Linked DNA regions of Schizosaccharomyces pombe. The protein of the gene in region 1 binds, or shares a complex with, the protein of each later gene. Each region holds a gene or a part of one and is shown in the gene's direction. Other genes may lie near its edges. The genes, in order: nda2 and cut7.

The links.
Region 2: the proteins of nda2 (region 1) and cut7 are in contact, whole or in part, in a cryo-EM structure (PDB 6S8M), measured with the Schizosaccharomyces pombe proteins. Residues at the interface, in NP_596774.1 of Schizosaccharomyces pombe: His111 (codon at 2,468), Tyr112 (codon at 2,471), Lys116 (codon at 2,483), Ser404 (codon at 3,347), Lys405 (codon at 3,350), Arg406 (codon at 3,353), Val409 (codon at 3,362), His410 (codon at 3,365), Val413 (codon at 3,374), Gly414 (codon at 3,377), Gly416 (codon at 3,383), Met417 (codon at 3,386), Glu418 (codon at 3,389), Glu419 (codon at 3,392), Gly420 (codon at 3,395), Glu421 (codon at 3,398), Ser423 (codon at 3,404), Glu424 (codon at 3,407); in NP_594527.1 of Schizosaccharomyces pombe: Ser331 (codon at 2,896), Glu332 (codon at 2,899), Asn333 (codon at 2,902), Ile334 (codon at 2,905), Gly335 (codon at 2,908), Arg336 (codon at 2,911), Ser337 (codon at 2,914), Gly338 (codon at 2,917), Ala339 (codon at 2,920), Thr347 (codon at 2,944), Gly348 (codon at 2,947), Met349 (codon at 2,950), Asn351 (codon at 2,956), Gln352 (codon at 2,959), Leu355 (codon at 2,968), Arg359 (codon at 2,980), Asn362 (codon at 2,989), Glu366 (codon at 3,001), Leu405 (codon at 3,118), Glu406 (codon at 3,121), Glu407 (codon at 3,124), Ser410 (codon at 3,133), Tyr414 (codon at 3,145), Arg417 (codon at 3,154).

What each region holds. Positions count from the first base shown.
Region 1 is NC_003423.3:4,266,944-4,271,261, forward strand, and holds nda2 (tubulin alpha 1), read left to right. Parts: upstream 1-1,968; 5' UTR 1,969-2,047; coding exon 2,048-2,102; exon of another isoform or gene 2,103-2,192; coding exon 2,193-3,505; 3' UTR 3,506-3,818; downstream 3,819-4,318. Other genes in the region: SPOM_SPBC16A3.17C (transporter), read left to right, coding at 1-415; cytochrome c oxidase assembly protein Coa5, read right to left, coding at 841-927, 977-1,147; SPOM_SPBC16A3.14 (mitochondrial ribosomal protein subunit S26), read right to left, coding at 4,188-4,318. UniProt on the Schizosaccharomyces pombe protein: Tubulin is the major constituent of microtubules, a cylinder consisting of laterally associated linear protofilaments composed of alpha- and beta-tubulin heterodimers.
Region 2 is NC_003424.3:4,305,702-4,311,881, reverse strand, and holds cut7 (kinesin-5 family plus-end directed microtubule motor, bimC subfamily Cut7), read left to right. Parts: upstream 1-1,544; 5' UTR 1,545-1,905; coding exon 1,906-5,163; 3' UTR 5,164-5,371; downstream 5,372-6,180. Other genes in the region: tif302 (translation initiation factor eIF3b (p84)), read right to left, coding at 1-1,303; rps2801 (40S ribosomal protein eS28), read right to left, coding at 5,556-5,694, 5,844-5,911; his1 (ATP phosphoribosyltransferase), read left to right, coding at 6,102-6,153. UniProt on the Schizosaccharomyces pombe protein: Could be a spindle pole body motor. On transition from G2 to M phase of the cell cycle, the spindle pole body duplicates; the daughter pole bodies seed microtubules which interdigitate to form a short spindle that elongates to span the nucleus at metaphase.

The sequences.
Region 1 (4,318 bases):
ATCTGGTTTTCTTTTTCTGCCTCCGCTCATTGCAATGCAGGCAACTTTTCCACCTGCAATGACTTCCATGGCTACTGCTACACTTATGTTTATACGTACCATGGGTGGTTCTATTGGTATTACAGTTGGTGAAGTAATATTTAATGAACGGGTTACTCAATCCTTTGACGGGAATACAACTTATGCTCAGTTATCTTATAAACAGGTTGAACGGTTACCCCAGGAATTACAGATTCGTGTAAAGAATACCTATGCGTCTGCCTTCAGGGTTATTTGGATATTTTGTACTGTTGTGATGGCAATTGGTTTTGCTTCTATATTTTTCATTAAAAGCCGTCCCTTGATAAGTAATGCTCAATCTGTGCCAGCAAAAAAGAAAGGTGATAGCGATGAAAAGCCAGCCGAAAAGGTGTAAATTATTTTATTTTGTTTTATTTATTATTTAGAAATTTATTGCTTTAACGTCTTTCTCACTGTTCGAATGTGCCTTTGAGTTAACTTGAGAAACAGGATTTTTAAGGAAAGTTTGTGTAGTTATATCTCAATTTTTTTTTTAGAAACCGATAGCTAGAGATAATCCTAGAGGGTGAATTATACTGTATATCTTTGATTATACCTAGTAGAAAACACTTTTAATTTGTTTGCAGGGAATTCGGAAATTAAAACTTCATCTTTAAAATCGAAACCTTGAATGCATTTAATTAAGTAGATAGTCGAAATAATATCGCTAGAATTTAACACACTACGACCTCTGATGGTTCATAGAATAGGTAGCTTTTCTTAATGGCATAATTTAGTAATATCTGTTTGTATGATTTAATTGTCTATGAAACCATAGATTTATTGTTCGTCAACATTTGATGGCTTCTCAGTATCTTGGTCGGTGTTTTTTTCTGGCGCAATTCGATATCGTTTAGTCATATCCAGCTGAATTATAACCATTTAGTAAAATAATAAGAGCCAAGCATTAACGTACCATTTGACGTTTGCATTCGCCATACGCCTCTATCAGATTTTTGCATTCTTCTGGAAGTTCGTCCTTGTTTTTGAGACATTCTCGTGCACTTTTTTTTTTAACAAACATACAATCAGAATGTAACAAACAATTTGCTAAATCTTCACGAATAACTTTACACGATCGGCCCATTTTTTACTGTAATTTTAAAACAAGGCTAAAAGTACATTGAATTCGTTCTTGTCAGTAGAAAATAGGATTTGGCGTAAGGTAAGGTGAACCTCTACAATTTGTTAATCCCTTAAAAGAACCATATGATCAAATGTTCTATACTAGATTCACCATACGTAAAATACATACTATTAAGAAAATAATTAAGCAAGCTGCTTTTAATTAGGTTTCATAAAACTGGGAATCCAAAATCTTTTGTCGGGCTAAACGCATAGTAATTTGACAGTGATTACAAACCCACAAAGCTTTGCTTTCAAACCTACTTTCTGAGGTTTCTAACCTTTAAGTATACGCTTAATGCATTTATTGCAAATCACTCAAGTATAAAACATCATTATATAGAAAACAGTAAAACGCAATGCAATGATTATAACCTTTCTTATCAAAAACCGTAAAGTGTTGCTAGTATGTTTTTATAAACAATTGTTACATATTTGAAACAAATTCTCGTATTCTTTGGCAAAGGAGCATAATTCTCATTATTTATGCTTAAATACTAATAATTATGTTCATTTGCTTCGTGAAAAAATGTCTTTCAAATCATAGTTCTTTGTTTACATTTATCGTCACTTCAATCCGTACAGTACAGAAAAATTCGAAAATTGATCATTGCAAGAATATTAATGAATACTACTTATATTACTTCTTTATAAAACATTATGTTATTTGCATGGTATGAGTTTTGGAACCTCATTGCATAAACTTCCCTCCTTAGTGCTTTACGAGTTCATTCGTTTTTCGTTATTTCCTACTCATGACTTGGAGTACCTACGCTCTCCCTTGACAAACAACCTAAGTTTGCAACCAAAACGTCTTGTGTAGCGCGTTTAGTTGCATTTACATTCGTTATTATCACAAATTATGAGAGAAGTAATTTCTGTTCATGTTGGACAAGCAGGTGTTCAAATCGGTAACGGTATGTTCAATATCCATCTTTTTGTATTGCTGTATACTCTAAATAGTTGGCAATCGATTTTTTCATAAAAAATTTAGCTAACATTTCTAGCATGCTGGGAGTTGTACTGTTTGGAGCATGGCATAGGACCCGACGGTTTTCCTACAGAAAACTCCGAAGTTCACAAAAACAATAGCTATTTAAATGATGGATTCGGTACATTTTTTTCTGAAACCGGGCAAGGAAAATTCGTACCTAGAAGTATCTATGTTGATCTTGAGCCTAACGTTATTGATCAAGTTCGTACTGGACCGTATAAAGATCTGTTTCATCCTGAACAGATGGTAACTGGTAAGGAAGATGCTTCTAACAATTACGCCCGTGGACATTATACTGTAGGAAAGGAAATGATTGATAGTGTATTAGAAAGGATACGTCGTATGGCTGACAATTGTTCTGGTCTCCAAGGTTTCCTTGTATTTCATTCTTTTGGTGGTGGTACCGGCTCGGGTTTGGGTGCTTTACTTCTGGAGCGCTTGAACATGGAATACGGAAAGAAATCTAACCTCCAATTTTCTGTTTATCCCGCCCCTCAAGTGAGCACATCCGTTGTTGAACCTTACAACTCTGTGCTCACTACCCATGCTACTCTCGATAACTCTGACTGTACCTTTATGGTTGATAATGAGGCTTGTTACGATATCTGTCGCCGAAATCTTGACATTGAGCGTCCAACCTATGAAAACCTCAACCGCCTTATTGCTCAAGTTGTCTCTTCTATCACCGCTTCTCTTCGATTTGCTGGTAGCTTAAATGTTGACTTAAATGAGTTTCAAACTAATCTTGTGCCATACCCTCGTATTCACTTTCCTTTAGTCACTTATTCTCCTATTGTCAGTGCAGCTAAAGCATTCCATGAATCCAACAGCGTACAAGAGATTACGAATCAGTGCTTTGAGCCTTATAATCAAATGGTAAAATGTGATCCACGAACTGGCCGCTATATGGCTACTTGTCTTTTGTATCGTGGTGATGTTATCCCACGTGATGTCCAGGCTGCCGTTACTAGCATTAAATCTCGTCGCACCATCCAATTTGTTGATTGGTGCCCTACTGGTTTCAAAATCGGTATTTGCTATGAGCCACCCCAACACGTTCCTGGTAGTGGAATCGCTAAGGTAAATCGTGCTGTTTGTATGCTTTCAAATACCACCTCGATTGCTGAAGCTTGGTCTCGTCTGGACCACAAGTTTGACCTTATGTACAGCAAGCGTGCTTTTGTTCATTGGTATGTCGGTGAAGGTATGGAAGAAGGTGAATTTTCAGAAGCCAGAGAAGATTTGGCTGCCTTAGAAAGGGATTACGAAGAGGTTGGTCAAGATTCTATGGATAACGAAATGTACGAAGCTGACGAAGAGTATTAATTTATCCAATAATCGCTTTTATACGTTATTTCATTCGTTTTATAACTTGAAGATATCTTGCATCTACCCTTGTCTCTTTAATCTTTGTTTATTCAGCCCTGTGGTCAAATAACTAAAGGGTGTCTGTCTTTCTTTGAGAGTTAAAATGTTCACCCAGCGGCAAGGAGATAAATTGCTCGTCCACTTATCTCACTGATTTTTTAACTTGAACATTCTTTTTCTTTACTAGTCAATTCTCATTTAGATATCAATCTAATCCACTCTATCTTTGCAAATAAACCACCAGTAAAATTTCAATTTCTCCTTTCTGTGGTATCTTTTTTTTTTAATTTTGCATGAAAAAGAGACACTATAAACTGTAAATTACATTGTGTATTGGCGCTTTTCTAGCTTTACAAAAAAAATGTTTTTAATCTCAACCTCTAAGCAATAAATCGGTTAATTGGTTAATAAATTACTTAACTTATATGACTCGATTGCTCGGAATTAGCCTAAAATCATTTAGAATACGAGCATGAGCCAAAACAGTCTACTGTAGAAGTTTCAAGGACGAGTAGAGAAAACACAATTTTTATTAAAATTAGAATGAAATTTATAAGGTGAAAGTAGAAAAAGGCGTTTTTTTAAAATCATAACAAGATTGTGATGAGATATAATTATCTAAATTGATTGCACCTTTCTTTCATACCAAAGAATTAGTCAATCTTTCCTCAATGACAGACCAATCTATGCAATCAAACCATGTGTCGATGTATCTTGAGCGATTTAAAAGACCGTAATCTTTATAATATGCATGATTCCATAAACAAAGGT
Region 2 (6,180 bases), on another chromosome or scaffold:
ATGTTGATTTCTTAGTTTTTGTGTGACGATCAACCTTAACACATAAATAATCACCATTAGACTGCCAGTACAACTTACAGTCGGAAACATTGAAAAGATTTTTCGTACGGATAGTTGATTTTGAAGGAATACTAATTAAGGCAACGCGAGCAGGTTGATTGGTAATTTCAGGGGTCCAGTAAGCTAAAAGCTGCTCCTTGGAATCACGTCCGAGAGCATCTGAAACTGGGCACCATTCAAAATTTTGCACACCGTCGATCTTGATAGTTTTCTTGTCAACCAAAGCAAGGGAGGGTGTCTCATAAACAGAAATCGACTGACCAACAGTAACGCGAGCAAGGTATTTATCATCGGCAGACCACTTGAAAATAGGCCAAATAACTTTTTTGCCATCCTTTGAACCTTCTGGTTGAGGAGGAATCTTAAAAGAACGAAGAATACGACCAGAGGCAATATCCCAAACGAAGCAATGTTTTCCTTCATCATCATCAGTGAAAGGCATTGTTTCACGAGCCGGATGTCCGATGGGAGGAAGTCGAACAGGCTCATAGGACCATGAAACAAGATACTTCTCGTTAGGGCTGAAGTCGACAAATTTTACGTAGGGGTGCAAGAAACGAGCACACATTCCCCAAGATTCCCCACCCCATAATTGAATACCACGAAGATGAAGTGATACGAGGTAAGTGCCCATGGGAGACCATTGCACGTAGGTCTCGGTCCAGTTTTCACGATCCACAATCTGTTCAGGGACGTCGCTCTTACGGTTCCAGTTAACAGATACACGGTTACCGTAATAGCTGATAAATTGATCACGACCATAGTAATCAGTTAACCAGCTACGCAAATGTTCGCGCTCCTTAAATTCACGTTCTTCGAAACTAAATTCATCAGGAGTGCTAAAAGCTTTTTCGAGTTGATTCAACTTACGAACAACGAAAGTATGGTTTTTTAAAATTTGCTTTCCATCCAACTCTTGAACGCAAAGATCGGCGCCATCAACATTTTCAAAATCGGCGAAAACTAGTCCAAGAGACATCTTTTTTCCATTTTTTTCCTCAAATGGCATATAAAATCCATTTTCCTTAACCTTTCCAATTTTAGCAAGGACTTTTGAGCTCAAAAAACGGAAGAAATCTTGCTGCTTAGCTTCTTCGACAACTGGAGCACCTTCGATTACTACAACCGTGTCATATCCAACAGGTTTAGTTACATTAAGCTTAACTTCCAGTTCAGAAACATCGATTTCCTCGTCCTTTACGACGATTTGATCCTTAATTTCCTCAATTAGGATTTCCGACATTTCTGGTGTAGTGCCGTTGTCTCTAGTCAAGTTTCTTCACCCAGTGACTGGGGGGACATCGAAGAGTAACTTTAGAGAAATTTAAAAAAAATTGAAAGTAATGAAAAGTAGAATTTAAAAAACATGGTATCATTTAAAATAAACTAATAAAGTTGATTCTGTTTTATATTTCTTCTTTTTTAGATTTTAACTCATTCTACCGATTTTGACTATTATCATTACTGACAACAGTTTATCTGCCAAGTTCGTTCATTTTGTATTGATTTTTAGTATTAGCACAATTGTTGGATTTTTCATAAAAGTTCTTTTTTCTCTTTTTATACTGTTGATTTGTACTGCAAAACATTGGAATGAGACATTCCAAGTGTTACCGTGTCTGAGTCCTCGTTCTTGTTTACAACAATTCAACAACATACTCAGGAGCGACAATTGTCCAATTTATTCATTCTTTTTACCCCTAAAAACAGACGTTTACGATCTTTTCCTATTTTAAATTTACCCCTTTTTTTTATATTGTGGTTTATTGAACTTTACAACAGAATTGCAATTTAAATTAACAACCTTGTCGCTTTCTTTGTAACAATCCTTACTCATAAAACCGAATGGCCCCTAGAGTTGCACCTGGTGGCTCACAACAATTTCTAGGAAAGCAGGGGTTGAAAGCTAAAAACCCGGTTTCTACTCCAAATTCACATTTCCGCTCTGCGAGCAATCCTAGGAAACGACGTGAGCCTCCTACTATTGACACTGGGTACCCAGATCGCTCCGACACTAATTCTCCGACAGATCATGCACTTCATGATGAGAACGAAACCAATATTAACGTAGTCGTCCGTGTTCGTGGTCGTACAGACCAAGAAGTACGCGACAATAGTAGCCTTGCTGTATCGACTTCGGGCGCTATGGGTGCTGAATTGGCCATCCAGTCGGATCCTTCATCCATGTTGGTCACGAAGACGTATGCCTTTGATAAAGTCTTTGGTCCTGAAGCTGACCAGTTAATGCTATTCGAAAATTCGGTAGCGCCCATGCTGGAGCAAGTATTGAACGGCTATAATTGTACTATATTTGCGTACGGACAAACTGGAACCGGTAAAACATATACTATGTCTGGTGATCTTAGCGATTCCGATGGAATTTTGTCTGAAGGAGCAGGCCTTATTCCTCGTGCCCTTTATCAATTATTTTCCTCCTTGGACAACAGTAATCAAGAATATGCTGTCAAATGCTCCTATTATGAACTTTACAACGAGGAAATTCGCGATCTTTTGGTTTCCGAAGAATTGCGAAAGCCAGCTCGTGTTTTTGAAGATACTTCGCGGAGAGGGAACGTTGTTATTACTGGTATTGAAGAAAGTTATATAAAAAATGCTGGCGATGGGTTGCGATTGTTACGTGAAGGCTCTCACCGGCGTCAAGTTGCTGCTACAAAGTGTAACGATCTTTCATCTCGTAGTCATTCAATCTTCACGATAACTCTGCATAGAAAGGTATCTTCGGGAATGACAGATGAAACTAATTCACTTACCATAAATAATAACTCTGATGACTTGCTGCGCGCCAGCAAACTTCATATGGTTGATTTGGCTGGAAGCGAGAACATTGGACGTTCTGGAGCTGAAAACAAACGTGCTCGAGAAACTGGAATGATCAATCAATCACTATTAACATTAGGCCGAGTAATTAATGCATTAGTGGAAAAGGCCCACCATATTCCATACCGTGAGTCCAAGCTTACACGCCTATTGCAGGATTCTTTGGGGGGAAAGACTAAAACCTCTATGATCGTTACCGTATCTTCTACTAATACTAATTTGGAAGAAACAATTTCTACTTTGGAGTATGCTGCTCGTGCTAAAAGTATACGCAATAAGCCTCAAAATAATCAGCTTGTCTTTCGAAAAGTCCTTATAAAAGACTTAGTGTTAGATATCGAACGATTGAAAAATGACCTTAATGCCACCCGTAAAAAGAACGGAGTTTATCTTGCTGAAAGCACGTATAAGGAGCTTATGGATCGTGTTCAAAACAAAGATTTGTTATGCCAGGAACAGGCTCGCAAACTTGAAGTGCTGGACTTAAACGTTAAAAGTTCGAGGGAACAACTGCAGTATGTTTCTAAATCTAATCAAGAACATAAAAAGGAAGTTGAAGCTCTGCAACTGCAACTGGTTAATTCATCTACAGAGTTAGAAAGTGTAAAGTCTGAGAACGAAAAGCTGAAAAATGAACTAGTTTTAGAAATCGAAAAACGAAAAAAATACGAAACCAATGAAGCTAAAATTACAACTGTTGCAACAGACCTTTCCCAATATTACCGAGAATCAAAAGAATACATTGCTAGCTTATATGAGAAGCTTGATCGCACTGAACGAAATAATAAAGAAAATGAAAACAATTTTTGGAATCTTAAGTTCAATTTGTTAACGATGTTGAGATCTTTTCATGGAAGTTTTACTGATGAAACAAATGGCTATTTTACTTTGTTGAATGATTTTAATGCTTCAATGGAAGAATTATTGAACACCCACAGTAATCAACTGCTGATTTCTATGACCAAAATTACTGAGCATTTTCAGAGTTTAGATGAGGCGTTGCAAAGTGCTCGTTCTTCTTGTGCAGTACCTAATTCTAGCTTAGACCTAATTGTTTCTGAATTAAAGGATTCCAAAAACAGCCTTCTTGATGCGTTGGAGCACAGTCTGCAGGATATTAGCATGTCTTCCCAGAAGTTGGGAAATGGAATTTCTTCGGAATTGATAGAATTGCAGAAAGACATGAAAGAATCATACCGACAACTTGTTCAGGAATTAAGATCACTATATAATTTACAGCATACTCATGAAGAATCACAGAAGGAGCTAATGTATGGTGTGCGTAACGATATTGATGCTCTGGTTAAAACTTGCACAACATCTTTGAACGATGCAGATATAATATTAAGTGATTACATATCTGATCAAAAATCCAAATTTGAATCCAAGCAACAAGATTTGATTGCTAATATTGGTAAAATTGTTTCAAATTTTTTACAGGAACAGAACGAATCTTTGTATACCAAAGCGGATATCTTACATTCACATCTCAATGATACAAACTCGAATATAAGGAAAGCAAACGAAATTATGAATAACCGTTCAGAAGAGTTTTTACGGAATGCGGCTTCACAAGCAGAAATCGTGGGTGCCAATAAAGAAAGGATTCAAAAGACAGTTGAAAATGGATCTCAACTGCTTGACAGTAAAAGCAAGGCCATTCATAGCAATTCCAGATCAATGTATGACCATTGCTTGGCTTTAGCGGAGTCTCAAAAACAAGGTGTTAATCTTGAAGTTCAAACGCTGGATCGTTTGTTGCAGAAAGTAAAAGAGCATTCAGAAGATAATACCAAGGAGAAGCATCAACAATTACTTGATTTATTGGAATCCCTTGTTGGCAACAATGACAATCTTATCGATTCCATCAAGACACCGCACACTGAATTACAGAAAATTACAGATCATGTTTTAAAGGGAACGACATCACTTGCTAATCATACTAATGAATTACTTGGTTTAGGAGATGAATCTCTATGTAACCTTGAAACTACTATAGAAGACACGTCTTTGGTGAAGCTGGAAACAACTGGCGATACACCTTCCAAACGAGAACTTCCTGCCACTCCATCTTGGACACGAGATTCGTCTTTAATTAAGGAAACTACGAATTTAAATTTAGATTCGGATAAGAAATTCGTTAGGGAAACCTACACATCGTCTAATCAAACTAATGAGCCGGACGTATATGATAAACCATCTAATTCATCAAGAACTAGTCTTTTGCGGAGTAGCAGAAGTGCCTATTCCAAAATGAAACGATAATGACACGATTTTATTAATTTATACTTAATGGACGAAAATACAATAGAAATGTATTACATCTTGGGGCTTTGGCTGGTTAAAACGGAAAGTTTGGTTATGTGTGTACATACTGCGTTTTAAATAATAGTTTTAGGAGTTGTATACATATAAAGATTAATTTAGATAGAAGTTTAATGATATACAGACGAGGTTAATCGATATACAAGGACTCTGGAAAAGGGGTGATACATTAGCTATGTTCTTACTTTTACAATATTCGAAAGCAATATACAAGACTGATAAAATCTTTGAAGCTACAGATATGGCGTCAAAAAGCAAATTGAATCGTAAAAGGTGTAACGAGATTATATTTTTTGCAAAGATGCTCTTAACAACAATGGGCCAAAGCAGCTTTAACGCAATCTTCTGGCCTCACGCTCTGATTCAAGAAGAACCAAGATGTCATCTTCACGAACAGGTCCCTTAACGTTACGAATGATAGAACGAGAAGTGTCATCCATAAATTCGACACGGACTTGGGTGACTCCACCACTACAGAGAAGTTAGTAATCATTGCTTGCTGGATATACAAAAGCGAGGAATAATTAGAATCTTTTATGTTTATTCGTTTAACACAAATCAATTTATGTGAATACAATATGTTGAATTTAACAATAAACTGACAAGTTTCCCAAACTTACCGAGAACCGGTGCGACCGAGCACTTTAATGACCTTTGCCAATTTAACAGGAACCTTAGAAGAATCCATTATCCTCTTGATATGTATAAGAGTGCGTGGTGTTTAGGAAGAATGTATAATGCACCGCCTAAAATTATGGGGAACATTGTGACTGCTTTTTCGACATTGGTGGTGGTAGTTAGTAAACGGTACATACCGATGCGTGCGTGAATTGACTGTAACGCCATAGCGTACAAGTAATCCGTTACTAATAATTAGAATGGATTTGGTTAACCACTTGGAAGATCGGTTACTTTTTGCTGTTCCCAAAAGTAAGTGAAGCTTTTAAAGAAGCACAG